Nothobranchius furzeri: one gene and its partners. The protein of the gene in region 3 binds, or shares a complex with, the protein of the main gene of each other region. Links are inferred from orthologs where the notes say so. Each region holds a gene or a part of one and is shown on either strand. Other genes may lie near its edges. The genes, in order: pde6gb, unc119a1 and gnat1.

Region 1 (4,135 bases), on a different chromosome or scaffold from region 3:
CGAGGCACGTGGCGTGGGAGCCCACCCTCCCCACGGGTTTGCAGCTTTAACGCAAAGTGAGGCTGCCTCGCTTGCATGTTTCTTGTTTAGGTCCATGAAGAGGATAGAAAAGAGAAAATGTGAGCAAGAAGAGTTCGGGTGTACAGAGGAGCAGAGCTACAGAGTGATGCCAGAGTGAGACACAAAGCAGGTGTTTGCAGTCTGAAGATTCCAGTGAGAGAGAACAGAAAATTATTTTTTCATAGTTGTTCCTGTTTTTGTTTTTTTTTGTTTTTTTTGTTTGTTACAGTTTGTTGTGATTTCCTGTTTAGAATAGATCCACATGCAGATTCATGACAGCCGCAGGCAGGTGGTTTGAAGTGCACAGCCTGGAATCCTCAGAGAAATCCTGGAAGATGTGGGACGGCTCAGATGATGCCGTACTGGGCCAGCTCGTGCAGCTCCAGGTGGTTAAAGGCCTCCCAGGGGCAGATGACCGTGATGTCTGAAGAGAGGGACAGAAATGTGAAGCTGTTCAGGTTCCTGAGTGTTCCTAAAGGACATTTTAAACAGACGTAAACTCACCTGTGCCCAAGCCCTCCATGCCGGGAATGTCATCACCAAAGCTGCCAACAAAACAAAGATTACTAACTTAAACCTCGGTTTACTTTGAACAACTCTGAAGGAAGCAGTGGTTCATTAGAGGCTTACCCCTGCACGCCTTTCTTTGGAGGTTTGCTCTTGAACTGGCGGGTCTGCCTCTGTTTGAACTTTGGTGGACCCTTACGCGGAGTGGCAGGGCCACCCGTGACTCGGGTGGCTGGGCCACCAGAGACTCGGGTGGCTGACTTGGTCTCAGGTTTGGGCGGCTCTAGATTCATTTTAACAGGAGTGAAGCGTGTGTAGGTTGTCTGGTTTAGAAACTCCTGCAGTTTGGAAACAAAAAATATAAGAAGGAGCAACTTTTTCCCACATGCAGACCACAAATCTTATCTGATGTGATGCATGTCTAACATATAGCTCCTGTCACCTCTGTGTGACATTATCTCCGGTAATCTTCTTGCACAGCTGAGAAGCACATGACAGGATCACAGCTTCCCTGTGACTGATCGTCTGACGTGGACCAAAATGCAGCCCGTTCAGCAAAGATGACCCAATTTCCCATAATCCCTAGCTCTTGTTAATAAGCTCTCTCGCCCTCTCTGTTTCAAGCTGGTCTCTCTCATGTAATCTTATTAAAACAAGGACAACATGGCAGAAATGCTGAGCTGCACATTGAGGGTCTAAAGAACAATCAGCTCAGCCCGTCCCAGAGACACCCGTGGACTGGTTTAACCCTTTATGTTGTCGTTTATGTTGACGACAAACAAAACAAGGTAAATCATCTGCCTCACTGAGGCTGTGCAAATAGCATCTCAGTAATGCATATTTCAGTATCATTTCAAATAAAAAGTTCAGTCAAAGTTATGTGCATTCATCATAAAATAACATAAAATCATCAGAATCTAGATTATGTGAGAAAATTAACTTGCGCGTGAACCAATTAAAAGAATAATGTTTATGATTAAAAAACATTCTACTGTTTCCATGTTTCTAAAAATATTTTTTTAAATTAAACCTGGCAAATCTTTGAAAGACTAGAAAAAAGTAAATATTTTGGTAGTTTTTATTTTTGCAGTAAACTCAGATTTACTAAAATGGAAATAAAATGATGTGAGTGAAATCACCGAGTAAACCATGCAGCAGATCTGAATGATAAATTGATAATGTTGTGTTATTTTATATATTTTTTGGCACAACATAGAGTGGAAAGGTTTTTCTTTTCAAAACATTTTAGGAAAAAAGATGAAAAAAAAAGAATGATTTAAAATGTGTCTAATAAATATAAATGTCTTCATCTATGTTCAGGAGATTTTTTAAAATTCTGCATCAAAGACTTTAACCCTTTGATGCATAATAGTCACTACAGTGGACAGGTACTCAAAATTGTTATTTATTTGTTTTTGCTATTAAGCACAGCTGTTGAAGACTTTATTGCATTTGAACCCCTCCATTTGGGCTTCAGTAAGCCAAGCCAACATATTTCATGTTCAGAATGCACGCTGTCCACTGAGGTGGATATGTAATAAATTATTTGTAAATTATAAAATTTAACAACAAATATTTGATGAAATTTGTTTTGTTCACACCTAAAGATGAATGAAAAAAAAAAGTTAAAAAAATCATGGTTGAAGATTTCATAATTCATGCATCAAAGGGTTAAATATTAATAGTTTATTTATTGAACATCAGTGAAATGTCCAGATCGTGTAATTGATTGTAGCACAAACTAGTTCAATTTCCACCTCAGCTGCTTTGAGAGGTTTCTCCAGGGTAACAATAAATAAATGTAATCCCTGTGGATTATCTAAGGTTTGTAAACCTTTCTGATGATGATGTTACTCACCTGTTGGCTGACGAAGAGCAGCCTGGTAGCTGGTTGTGAGCTGCTGGGATGAGCAGATGAGTGGACGGCTATGCTGGGGCTCACTGTAAGGGCCAGCCAGGACTTAAGACCATTTTATACTCAGTCCACAGGGGGATTATGATGCTCCACCTCTTGTTTCTCATGTCACAATGTTTGGGCCAAACTGTCTAAATATAACTCACATTTATTTAAATACAGTTTAGATTTTTTTTGTGTTCCATCCATCCATTTCAGCCGCCTATCCGGAGTTGGGTCGCGGGGACAGCAGCCTAGCCAACAAGCCCAGACTTCCCTCTCTCCAGCTACTTGGGCCAGCTCCTCTGGGGAATCCCAAGGCATTCCCTGGCCAGTTGAGAGACATAGTCCCTCCAGTGTGTCCTGGATCTTCTCTTGGGTCTCTTCCTAGTTGGACGTGCCTGGAAAACCTCACCAGGGAGGCATCCTGACAAGATGCCCGAGCCACCTCAACTGGCACCACTCAATGTGGAGGAGCAGCGGGTCCCACCCGGATGACCAAGTTTCTCACCCTATTTCTAAGGGAGAGCCAGACACCCTACGGAGAAAACTCATTTTGGCCGCTTGTATCCATGATCTCGTTCTTTCAGTGACTACCCAAAGCTCGTGACCTTAGGTGAGGGTAGGAACATAGATCGACCGGTAAATCGAGAGCTTTGCCTACTGACTCAGCTCTAAATTCACCACAACAGATACGTACAAGGCCCGTATCACTGCAGACACAGCGCAAATTCGCCTGTCCCTGTTCCATCTGTCCCCCACTCGTGAACAAGACCCTGAGATACTTAAACTCCTCCACTTGAAACCAGGGGCGACGTTAGGCCCGGCTACTTGGGCTGAAGCCCCGGATGTTCTATGAAAAGCCCTGGATCTAAATCGCGGAAGTAACATGCAGTACCAAAGTCCAACAGAGAGGGAGCAGCTGGCAGTAGTTTGTATACAGCCTGCCTGAGCCTCCACCACTGAAGAAGAACTGCCCTTCAGCAGCCGACTTCTTCTACACTCTCTGCCTGAAACGAATGAGTGAAGATGGACATGAGGATGTTTTTTAGACAAAAAGTACAACGACAGAACCCCAGCTTTGATGATACTGGTGTTGACTCAGGTTTGTGAGTATTATTTGAAAATATTTGTTGTGCTGCTGGTTTGCCTAAAGTTAGTTTACTATCAGGTAAAGTTGTTGGAGAAAGAACAGGAATATTTACTATCATGATCATCTCACACTAAACACTAACAGGAACAATACTCTGCCCTGAAAATGCTTAATATGTAGCTTCAGATTAAAAATTATGTGGTACAAGACAAATATATATGATGTTGACTAGTGTGTGTCACGTGTGTGTGCGTGTGTTAAGCCCCGGATCTTCTTCAGTCCTAAAACCACTCCTGCTTGAAACAGGACCCCATCCCTGACCTGGAGAAGGCATTCTACCCTTTCATGATTCAAGACCATGGACTCAGATTTAGAGAATCTGATTCTCATCCCAGTTGCTTCACACTCAGCTGCAAACTGCTCCAGCGAAAGCTGGAGATCACATTCTGATAAACCCAACAACACCACTTAATCTGCAAAAAGTAGAGACCTGATTCTCAGGCCACCAAAACGGATCCCTTCAATACTTCGGCTGTGCCTAGAAATCCTGTCCATAAAAGTTACGAACAGAATTTGATGAC
Region 2 (3,476 bases), on a different chromosome or scaffold from region 3:
CTGTAACACCTTAACCAAACAGCTGAAATGTCTCCTCAACTTTCATTAGTTTCTACAGGAATGATTCAAATGATATTATGATGACACTGCATGTATGTACAGGATGATTGCTAAATGAAACAAATCAGCTGTGTTCATGATGTAAAACATGCAGGAAACAGACTGCAGTGTCAGGTATGTCAGCTCTGAAGTTGCAAATGCGGCATTCTGTGTATTCTGGCCAGAGGGGGGGGGGGGGGGGCATTTCAGCACATACTGGTTCAAGAAAATGATTGAAAAACATAAAAAAGTTGAATAGTATCCCTTTAATTAAACGCCCTATAAAGGGTGATGGCAGCTTTAAATGATTCAAAAGTTGTCTCTCATTTACGAATTTGATCAAACAAACCATTTTCTGTGATTTGACATTGACTGGGCAAACAGTGTAGTACAACTGTTGTTACAGGAGATGGCAGCAAAGACACTATGTGAAGTTTTCTTTGTTGCCTAGGAGGAGGAAATGTTAAATTGCCTTTTTTTTTTTAATAAAAAACGTTATAAAGGACAGCAACATCCCAATGGCTGTCGTTTCTAATCCCTTATTTATGTGTAAAAAAATTAAATGTCCGCAAAAAAAATCCCAATTTTTATTGCATTAGTGAAATTTATCACAAAAGTTTACATGTTTTAATATTTTGATCATTAAAACATTTCTCAGAATCGTAGGTTACACAGTGTTGAGTTGGACAGAAACCTTAAACAGTCGCCTGATCTTTGGCTAACATTTATTTCTGACGCTTCAAAAAGGCTATTTGTTCAAAAACACCCCTGATGAACATGGAAACATGAAAACAAACAATGCACCCACGGACACTATGTTCACATTCTTCGGATGTCAGACGAGATCGCTCAGAAATGTGCACTTCTAAGTAAAAATGTAATCAGATTTCTATCCAAACTATAAAATCTAAAACACGTCTGAATTCAGACTTCAAATGAAATAAAACAATGATGACCAAATGGAGCTGACGTATAAACCAACAGTTTGTTCAGACACTGCATGTATTGGCTGCCCACACGCTCACTAGTGCAAACTGGTGATAAAACTGGCAGAAGTGACTGTTCCTGCAGCAGGAGACGGGATAAACTACTGCCAGTCACGACGTGTCCATCAGTCCATGTGTTTCTGGTCCTGAAGTCGTAGGAAAATGTCTTGGATCTAACTGGAGTGGTGTTCCTACGGCCCTCCAGAGTAGGAATAATCGGCTTTGTTGTGCATCACCAGCTTGTTGTCCACAAAGTAGAAGCTGTCGGATTGCGTCTCGTAGGGGTGTTGTATCATCTCACGCACTGAGAAAAGAGAACACACTGAATCCTGTGCTTGTGTGTGCTGAGACATTTCTTATCTTTATACTCACTGATTTCCTCAGACAGGGTGGGGAACTCATAAATGTGCTCGCATGTGTTCTTGCTGCTGGGCATGCAGAAGCCAAACTCAAAGTCAAAACTCTTTAGCAACTTGTCTCGGAAGTAGTGTCTCTCTATCATGCGGAAGTTGTTGATGGGGGCGTCTCCGACTGTGAACTCCACCCTGCAATAGCGCACAGCGATGATAATAAATGTTTTAAAGGGGAACTAGGCACTTTTGGCATGTTTTTAGCCCCCCTAGTGTCCGTTTGTAGAACTGAAAGCAAAACCTCGTTGTGCGTTTGTCTTTTTAACACATTAATCTGACAGCTGAAACATCTCCTCAGCCTTCATTAGTGTCTACAGGAGTGAGTCATCACTAAATTAAACAAATCAGCTGTGTTCATGATCTACAACATACAGGAAATGCACTGAAATCAGATTGCAGTGCCAGGTTTGTCAGCTCTATCTTTTCTAAGTCCCAGCAGAGAGGCCGCCAGTCTGAAGTTGCAAGTGGAATATTCTGGCCACAGGGGGACGATAGGGGCTGGGTAGCATTTCATTAACCAAAGGGTCATTTTAGCACATACTGGTTCAAGAAAATGATTTAAAAATATGAAAAAGTTGCCCCTTTAAACAACAACAAAAACAACAACAACAAAAAATAATTGAACGGCTTGAAGTTCAGAGATCTTGAAATTAAAATCAGAGTGGATTTTTGAAATTCCTTTTTTTCACTATTTTCTATCTTTTTTGTTATTGCTTGTAAAGATAAAGCAAATGTTGTTCAGAGATCTAGTCAATATGTGGAATTACTGAAAAAAAAATACAGTTTTTAGTGATAAATTATAAATGACCCGCACTTGTATAGCACCTTTCAAAGTCAGAGGACTCCAAAGCGCTTTACACTAAAGTGTATCATTCTTCCATTCACACACACATTCACACCCTGGTGGTAATGATCCACACTGTATCTACAGTTGCCCTGGGGCACACTGTCATTTACTTGCAAATAAGCATTGTTCAAACTTCTCACAATATTTTGGCATCTTTTTCCCCCGTAGACGACACCTTATAGCTAGTGTTACACAAAGTGGGTGGAGCTCCACTCTTCACCCATCTAAAAAATAACCCTAACCCATCACAACACATTATCATGGTGATGCATTAAATTAAGAGTCAAGGTTTGTTGCACGCTGCAGACTTGACTGTGAGGTTCGAGTCAGCTTTGAATCAAATTAGTTGTGAATCATGAAAATTTAACATAAAAGTTTCATTCAAGCACTTGTGTGTGGCAGATTAAGGCTAGTGCCTGTTTAGATGTTTATAGTGGTTATTGATGTATTTTAGCTGTTATCACTATAAATGAACAGCAGAAACTGCAGCAGCAGTGACAGGAACAGTTGGGTTAAGTTTACACCATGCTCTCTGCTCTCCTCTGTTTGCTTAACACACACACACATACACACACACACACACATACACACACACACACACACACACACACACACACACACACACACACACACACACACACACACACACACACACACACACACACACACACACACACACACACACACACTTTTGACTTACGTGGCTCCAACCTGTCGAAGCTGCAGGAACGCTGGTGTGAACTGGTATCGGACAAAACGCCCGGTGTTTGGGTCACATTGCTTTAGGCATCCTGCAGGAGGAATTCATAATAAGCTCTTTTTCCATCTATAAGAAACAAGTTCATTGTATATGCCTTTGAAATACAGGCTTTCAAATATTTTCCACACAAATATTTTGCAGCTTTAGTCTCCGCAAACAACGCATGTCTCTCTGTGGTTTGGAGCTGACCTGCTGTTGGAGGCTTGGTGATCTCAAACAGGACCGTCCCCGTTTCCATGTCACGGATTTTAAATCTGGTGAAGTCGATCATGTGAACATTTTCTTCTGGAGAGCAAAGGTAATCTAAAAAAATTAAAAACACACACACAACCTTATGCGATCAGAAGCAAAAAGCATATTTTCCTGATTTCACAGGAAACTAGCAATCATTTCATCTACACTCTGTTACGGAAAGTTTGAGCTTTTTTGTAGTT
Region 3 (4,125 bases):
GGCGCGGTGGAGGGGCGTGGTTGTTAAAATGACGCAATTTCGCCGCGCAGAGCCGTGCGGAACTCGCGGACGCGTCAAGCATAAACCAACCTTTAGGCCACTGCCCCCGCGACCCGACTCCAGATAAGCGGATGAAAATGGATGGATGGATTTAATTGTTTGTTTGAAAGTTTGTTTCTTTAGAAGCAGCACAGCGACCAACATCCCGGCATTTGTTGCGGTCAATCACGCAATGCTTTCTGTCCCATTTCAGTAATTATTTGCTCACATGTGCAGTACGAGCTCGAAGCCTTACTGCATACTCCCTCCAAGTGCACTTCACAGAAGACCGTAGAGCATGGTGCAAGTATTGTGATTGAGCCACACACTCCACTCTCTCTCCTCGCTGCAAAAAAATGTTTTAAAGCCTTCTTGTGGGCGGGCGTGAGCCAAGATGGGCGAAGCAATGAATGCAAATTCACAGTATGAAATAGATAAGTGAGGATAAAATCTTAGCCTTTCACCATCTATTTTCTATCAGAAGCTATCACAGGAGATAGGTGTAGGAGTCTGTTTTCACATTCATCCTGCATAAAAAGCTCAGAGTGACCAATTATACTCAGGAATAATTGGTGTGTGTGTGTGTGGGGGGGGGGGACCACACATTTAAGCGTTGCTGCTTTCATTGTGTCAAACATTGCAAGACACACACACACACACACACACACACACACACACACACACACACACACACACACACACACACACACAGTTATTACATCCATGCATCACTGAAGAGAGTAGATTAGGATTCTTTCCCTCCTTCAGATTTAGGTCAATGAGATCTGTTTAGTGAAACCACTAAGCCCTTTAAGTACCTCAGAACTCACCATTTAATCTGAAGTATCCAATAAGAAATGTCTTATTTTGTGTTTGCATGTATACTTTTCTATGTGTGGCATTTTTGTTGCAAGTTTTATTGTGTATTTTGCTGTAGTACGAGGCTGTTTTTGTGTTAAATGTGTTGGTTCTTCACCATATTGCACAAATAATCATTGTCATATTGATTTTCACTTTCAGCTGAGTCCTAACATGGAATTAATTAGTTTTGGTCAACTATTTAGCTTCTTCCCTTTTCAAGACATCTAAGAAGAGCATGAGATAAGCACTTGAGCCGATGCTCATCTTCCGCTGAGCACAGCAAAGTACCCTAAAGGCTAGAGCACAACTATGGTCCTCCGCTCCTCATCACACCTCTGCCCTATAACGTCCCTGTCCTTGTGCTCCATTGGCTACCACCGGTCAGGTGGGTCGAAGGTTCCCAAAATCCGCTCCTAAGTCGGAAAAATACTCAAACCTCAGGCAGCTGTAGGCAGTTCAGGCATCAGCTGTGCGGTTGAAGGCACCAGCCGGGACCTTCTTCCATTTTTCCTTGACACTTGGCTTTTAAACAGAAGGGACCTAAGCCGGGAAAGGTAGGATGGGGGCCGGAGCTAGCGCTGAGGAGAAACGCTCCAGGGAGCTGGAGAAGAAGCTGAAGGAAGATGCTGACAAGGATGCAAGAACTGTCAAGCTGCTGCTGCTAGGTAAAGACACCCAGCTTCAGATGCTTCAGCAGGTCCTGGTTCATTTATATGGAATCATGATGCTTGCATTTCAAATATTCTGCTGTTAGGCATTAGAAGGTTTGCAAGAAAATTACAAACATTTAAATAAACATTTGTAACAAGCATAAATACTGTTGGCTTATGTTTAATTGTTGCAATGGATACGTCTCATTATTTTTACACAACTTGTTTGAGTCAAGCGAAGGCTTAATAACCTGTCACTGAACTGCTGAGACACTTGGATTATCACTCAAGCCAATCCTCTATTAATCCTGACACAACAGGTCCAACAGCACAAAGGGCTTAGCAGAGAAGGACACAGATATCAAGAAAATCCAAACAGAACCAACATAATTAAAAAGAGAAAGTACTCGCGTGATTCAAAACTTGATATACAATTGAGCCTAGGTTAGTTTTTAATTATATTTTACAAGTTATACAGACAAACATGGGTTTGTACCTGAAACAGTATCTCAGAATTTATAACTCTTGCCGAATGCACAATTGTTGACCTGGTTATAAACAGACATGCCAGGTTATTCCATATATTTTTTGTGCACAGATCCACCATCATCTAATAATGTAGGTCAAGAAAAAGATTAGACATGAAATAAGAAGTATTATGACTTGTTAGGATCATCTGTCTGATGAAATATGTCATCTAAGATAAACCCAGGTCCTCTTCTGGAAACAATGTAACCAATAAAATTACTAAACAGATGTAAGGGTTCTGGAAAATTATGGAAAATCTCAATAAAACTGGCTTTAACAAACATCTACTGATGTTGGTGTTCTCTCGTGTAGGTGCTGGAGAATCAGGCAAAAGCACAATCGTCAAACAGATGAAGTAAGTTGGACTTTAGGCCCTGGTAGCTTTTATTTCTAAATGTAATCTGTGCCGTAACGCCGCATTTTCTCTGCAGAATTATTCACAAAGATGGTTACTCGCTTGAAGAGTGCTTGGAGTTTATTACCATCATTTACAGCAACACCCTGCAGTCCATCATGGCTATTGTAAAGGCCATGACCACACTCAACATTAACTACGGCCACCCCGATCAGCAGGTCGCCACAAACGTCCATATAAATGTTCCCAGTTTGTTGGCAAACAAACAGAACTATGGGTTAAATGTATTTTCTTTGACTCTGTCATGCAGGATGATGCCAGGAAACTCATGCATCTTGCAGACACGATCGAGGAAGGAACCATGCCCAAAGAGCTGTCGGACATTATCCTGCGTTTGTGGAAGGATTCTGGTATCCAGGCATGCTTTGACAGGGCTTCAGAGTACCAGCTCAACGACTCAGCTGGATAGTAAGAACTCTGAATTGTGGAGGTTTCAAGTTTTGTTTTTGCATTACTCAACTGAAACTCTTTTCCTCACAGCTACCTAAACGATTTGGAGCGACTGATCCAGCCAGGCTACGTGCCCACTGAGCAGGATGTGTTGCGATCAAGAGTCAAGACCACCGGTATCATCGAGACCCAGTTCTCCTTTAAAGATCTCAACTTCAGGTGTGTTTCTGCATCACTTAGGATTAGCTGAGCTACAGAGTGAAGACTTCAGATCAAATGTCTTGGTTTTTCTCATGCAGAATGTTTGATGTGGGTGGCCAGAGGTCAGAGAGGAAGAAGTGGATCCATTGTTTTGAAGGTGTCACTTGTATCATTTTCATTGCTGCTTTGAGCGCTTACGACATGGTGCTGGTGGAGGACGATGAAGTGGTATGGACAGTTACCTATTTTTAACTATTTCATGCCAAGTATCAGATGGTTATAAAGATCTTCGTCGAACTTTACTTCCAGAATCGAATGCACGAGAGTCTCCACTTGTTCAACAGTATTTGCAACCACCGCTACTTTGCCACCACCTCCATTGTACTCTTCCTCAACAAGAAAGACGTGTTTGTGGAGAAAATCAAGAAAGCTCATCTCAGCATGTGCTTCCCTGAGTATGATGGTGAGATCTTATTTTTTTAATTATGGCATTTTTTAAACAAAAATTGCAAATTACTTCATTTGACATGGTCTCACATAGGACCCAACACCTATGAGGACGCCGGTAACTACATCAAAATACAATTCCTGGACCTAAACCTGCGTCGAGATGTCAAAGAAATCTACTCCCACATGACCTGTGCCACGGACACGGAAAACGTCAAGTTTGTGTTTGATGCCGTAACCGACATCATCATCAAAGAAAACCTGAAGGACTGCGGTCTCTTCTAAAAGTTGGGCAGAGGAACTAAACAAGGGTGAGCAAAGAGAAAGTGAGCAAAGATACAGAAAAAAATAAAGCCGCTTAAAGCTGTGGTCCGTAGCGTGATGTCATCAAGGAAAGAAGCAGATTTTGAGGTTTGATTGGCTATAGCTCCCACCCCTGCCCCCCTTAACATTCTGGAAGGTAACGCTGTACTAGCCAACAGTAAAGGCAGCACAATTATCTCCATTTTTATTTATTACAGTTATCTAAAGATAAATGAACAGCTTAGTATTTACCAGTCCATTAGAAACTCGACCAACTCCATCAGTTTTGAG

The links.
Region 1: the proteins of gnat1 (region 3) and pde6gb are in contact, whole or in part, in a cryo-EM structure (PDB 7JSN), measured with the Bos taurus proteins. The link is inferred for Nothobranchius furzeri from reciprocal best matches to the Homo sapiens genes GNAT1 and PDE6G. Residues at the interface, in NP_851365.1 of Bos taurus: Ser140, Arg201, Arg204, Lys205, Trp207, Ile208, Phe211, Asp227, Val229, Glu235, Val236, Asn237, His240, Glu241, His244, Leu245, Ser248, Ile249, Ile281, Phe283, Glu305, Leu306, Met308; in NP_776846.1 of Bos taurus: Arg36, Gln37, Phe38, Lys39, Ser40, Lys41, Pro42, Pro43, Lys45, Leu60, Val66, Ile67, Cys68, Pro69, Trp70, Glu71, Phe73, Asn74, His75, Leu76, Glu77, Leu78.
Region 2: the proteins of gnat1 (region 3) and unc119a1 are in contact, whole or in part, in a crystal structure (PDB 3RBQ), measured with the Homo sapiens proteins. The link is inferred for Nothobranchius furzeri from reciprocal best matches to the Homo sapiens genes GNAT1 and UNC119. Residues at the interface, in NP_000163.2 of Homo sapiens: Gly2, Ala3, Gly4, Ala5, Ser6, Ala7, Glu8; in NP_005139.1 of Homo sapiens: Asp87, Phe88, Val89, Arg90, Phe91, Ile105, Lys106, Lys107, Gly126, Arg127, Phe128, Val129, Tyr131, Phe137, Val147, Glu163, Leu172, Ser218, Tyr220, Asn230.

Annotation. Positions count from the first base shown.
Region 1 is NC_091756.1:53,507,251-53,511,385, forward strand, and holds pde6gb (phosphodiesterase 6G, cGMP-specific, rod, gamma, paralog b), read right to left. Parts: upstream 2,845-4,135; 5' UTR 2,426-2,844; intron 906-2,425; 5' UTR 861-905; coding exon 691-860; intron 606-690; coding exon 565-605; intron 485-564; coding exon 408-484; 3' UTR 232-407; downstream 1-231.
Region 2 is NC_091753.1:37,619,635-37,623,110, reverse strand, and holds the end of unc119a1 (protein unc-119 homolog A), read right to left. Parts: intron 3,346-3,476; coding exon 3,232-3,345; intron 3,074-3,231; coding exon 2,983-3,073; intron 1,571-2,982; coding exon 1,398-1,570; intron 1,330-1,397; coding exon 1,217-1,329; 3' UTR 613-1,216; downstream 1-612. UniProt on the Homo sapiens protein: Involved in synaptic functions in photoreceptor cells, the signal transduction in immune cells as a Src family kinase activator, endosome recycling, the uptake of bacteria and endocytosis, protein trafficking in sensory neurons and as lipid-binding chaperone with specificity for a diverse subset of myristoylated proteins.
Region 3 is NC_091743.1:65,300,318-65,304,442, reverse strand, and holds the start of gnat1 (guanine nucleotide-binding protein G(t) subunit alpha-1), read left to right. Parts: upstream 1-1,308; 5' UTR 1,309-1,459; coding exon 1,460-1,565; intron 1,566-2,390; coding exon 2,391-2,433; intron 2,434-2,509; coding exon 2,510-2,651; intron 2,652-2,743; coding exon 2,744-2,901; intron 2,902-2,973; coding exon 2,974-3,102; intron 3,103-3,182; coding exon 3,183-3,312; intron 3,313-3,393; coding exon 3,394-3,547; intron 3,548-3,625; coding exon 3,626-3,816; 3' UTR 3,817-4,125. UniProt on the Homo sapiens protein: Functions as a signal transducer for the rod photoreceptor RHO. Required for normal RHO-mediated light perception by the retina.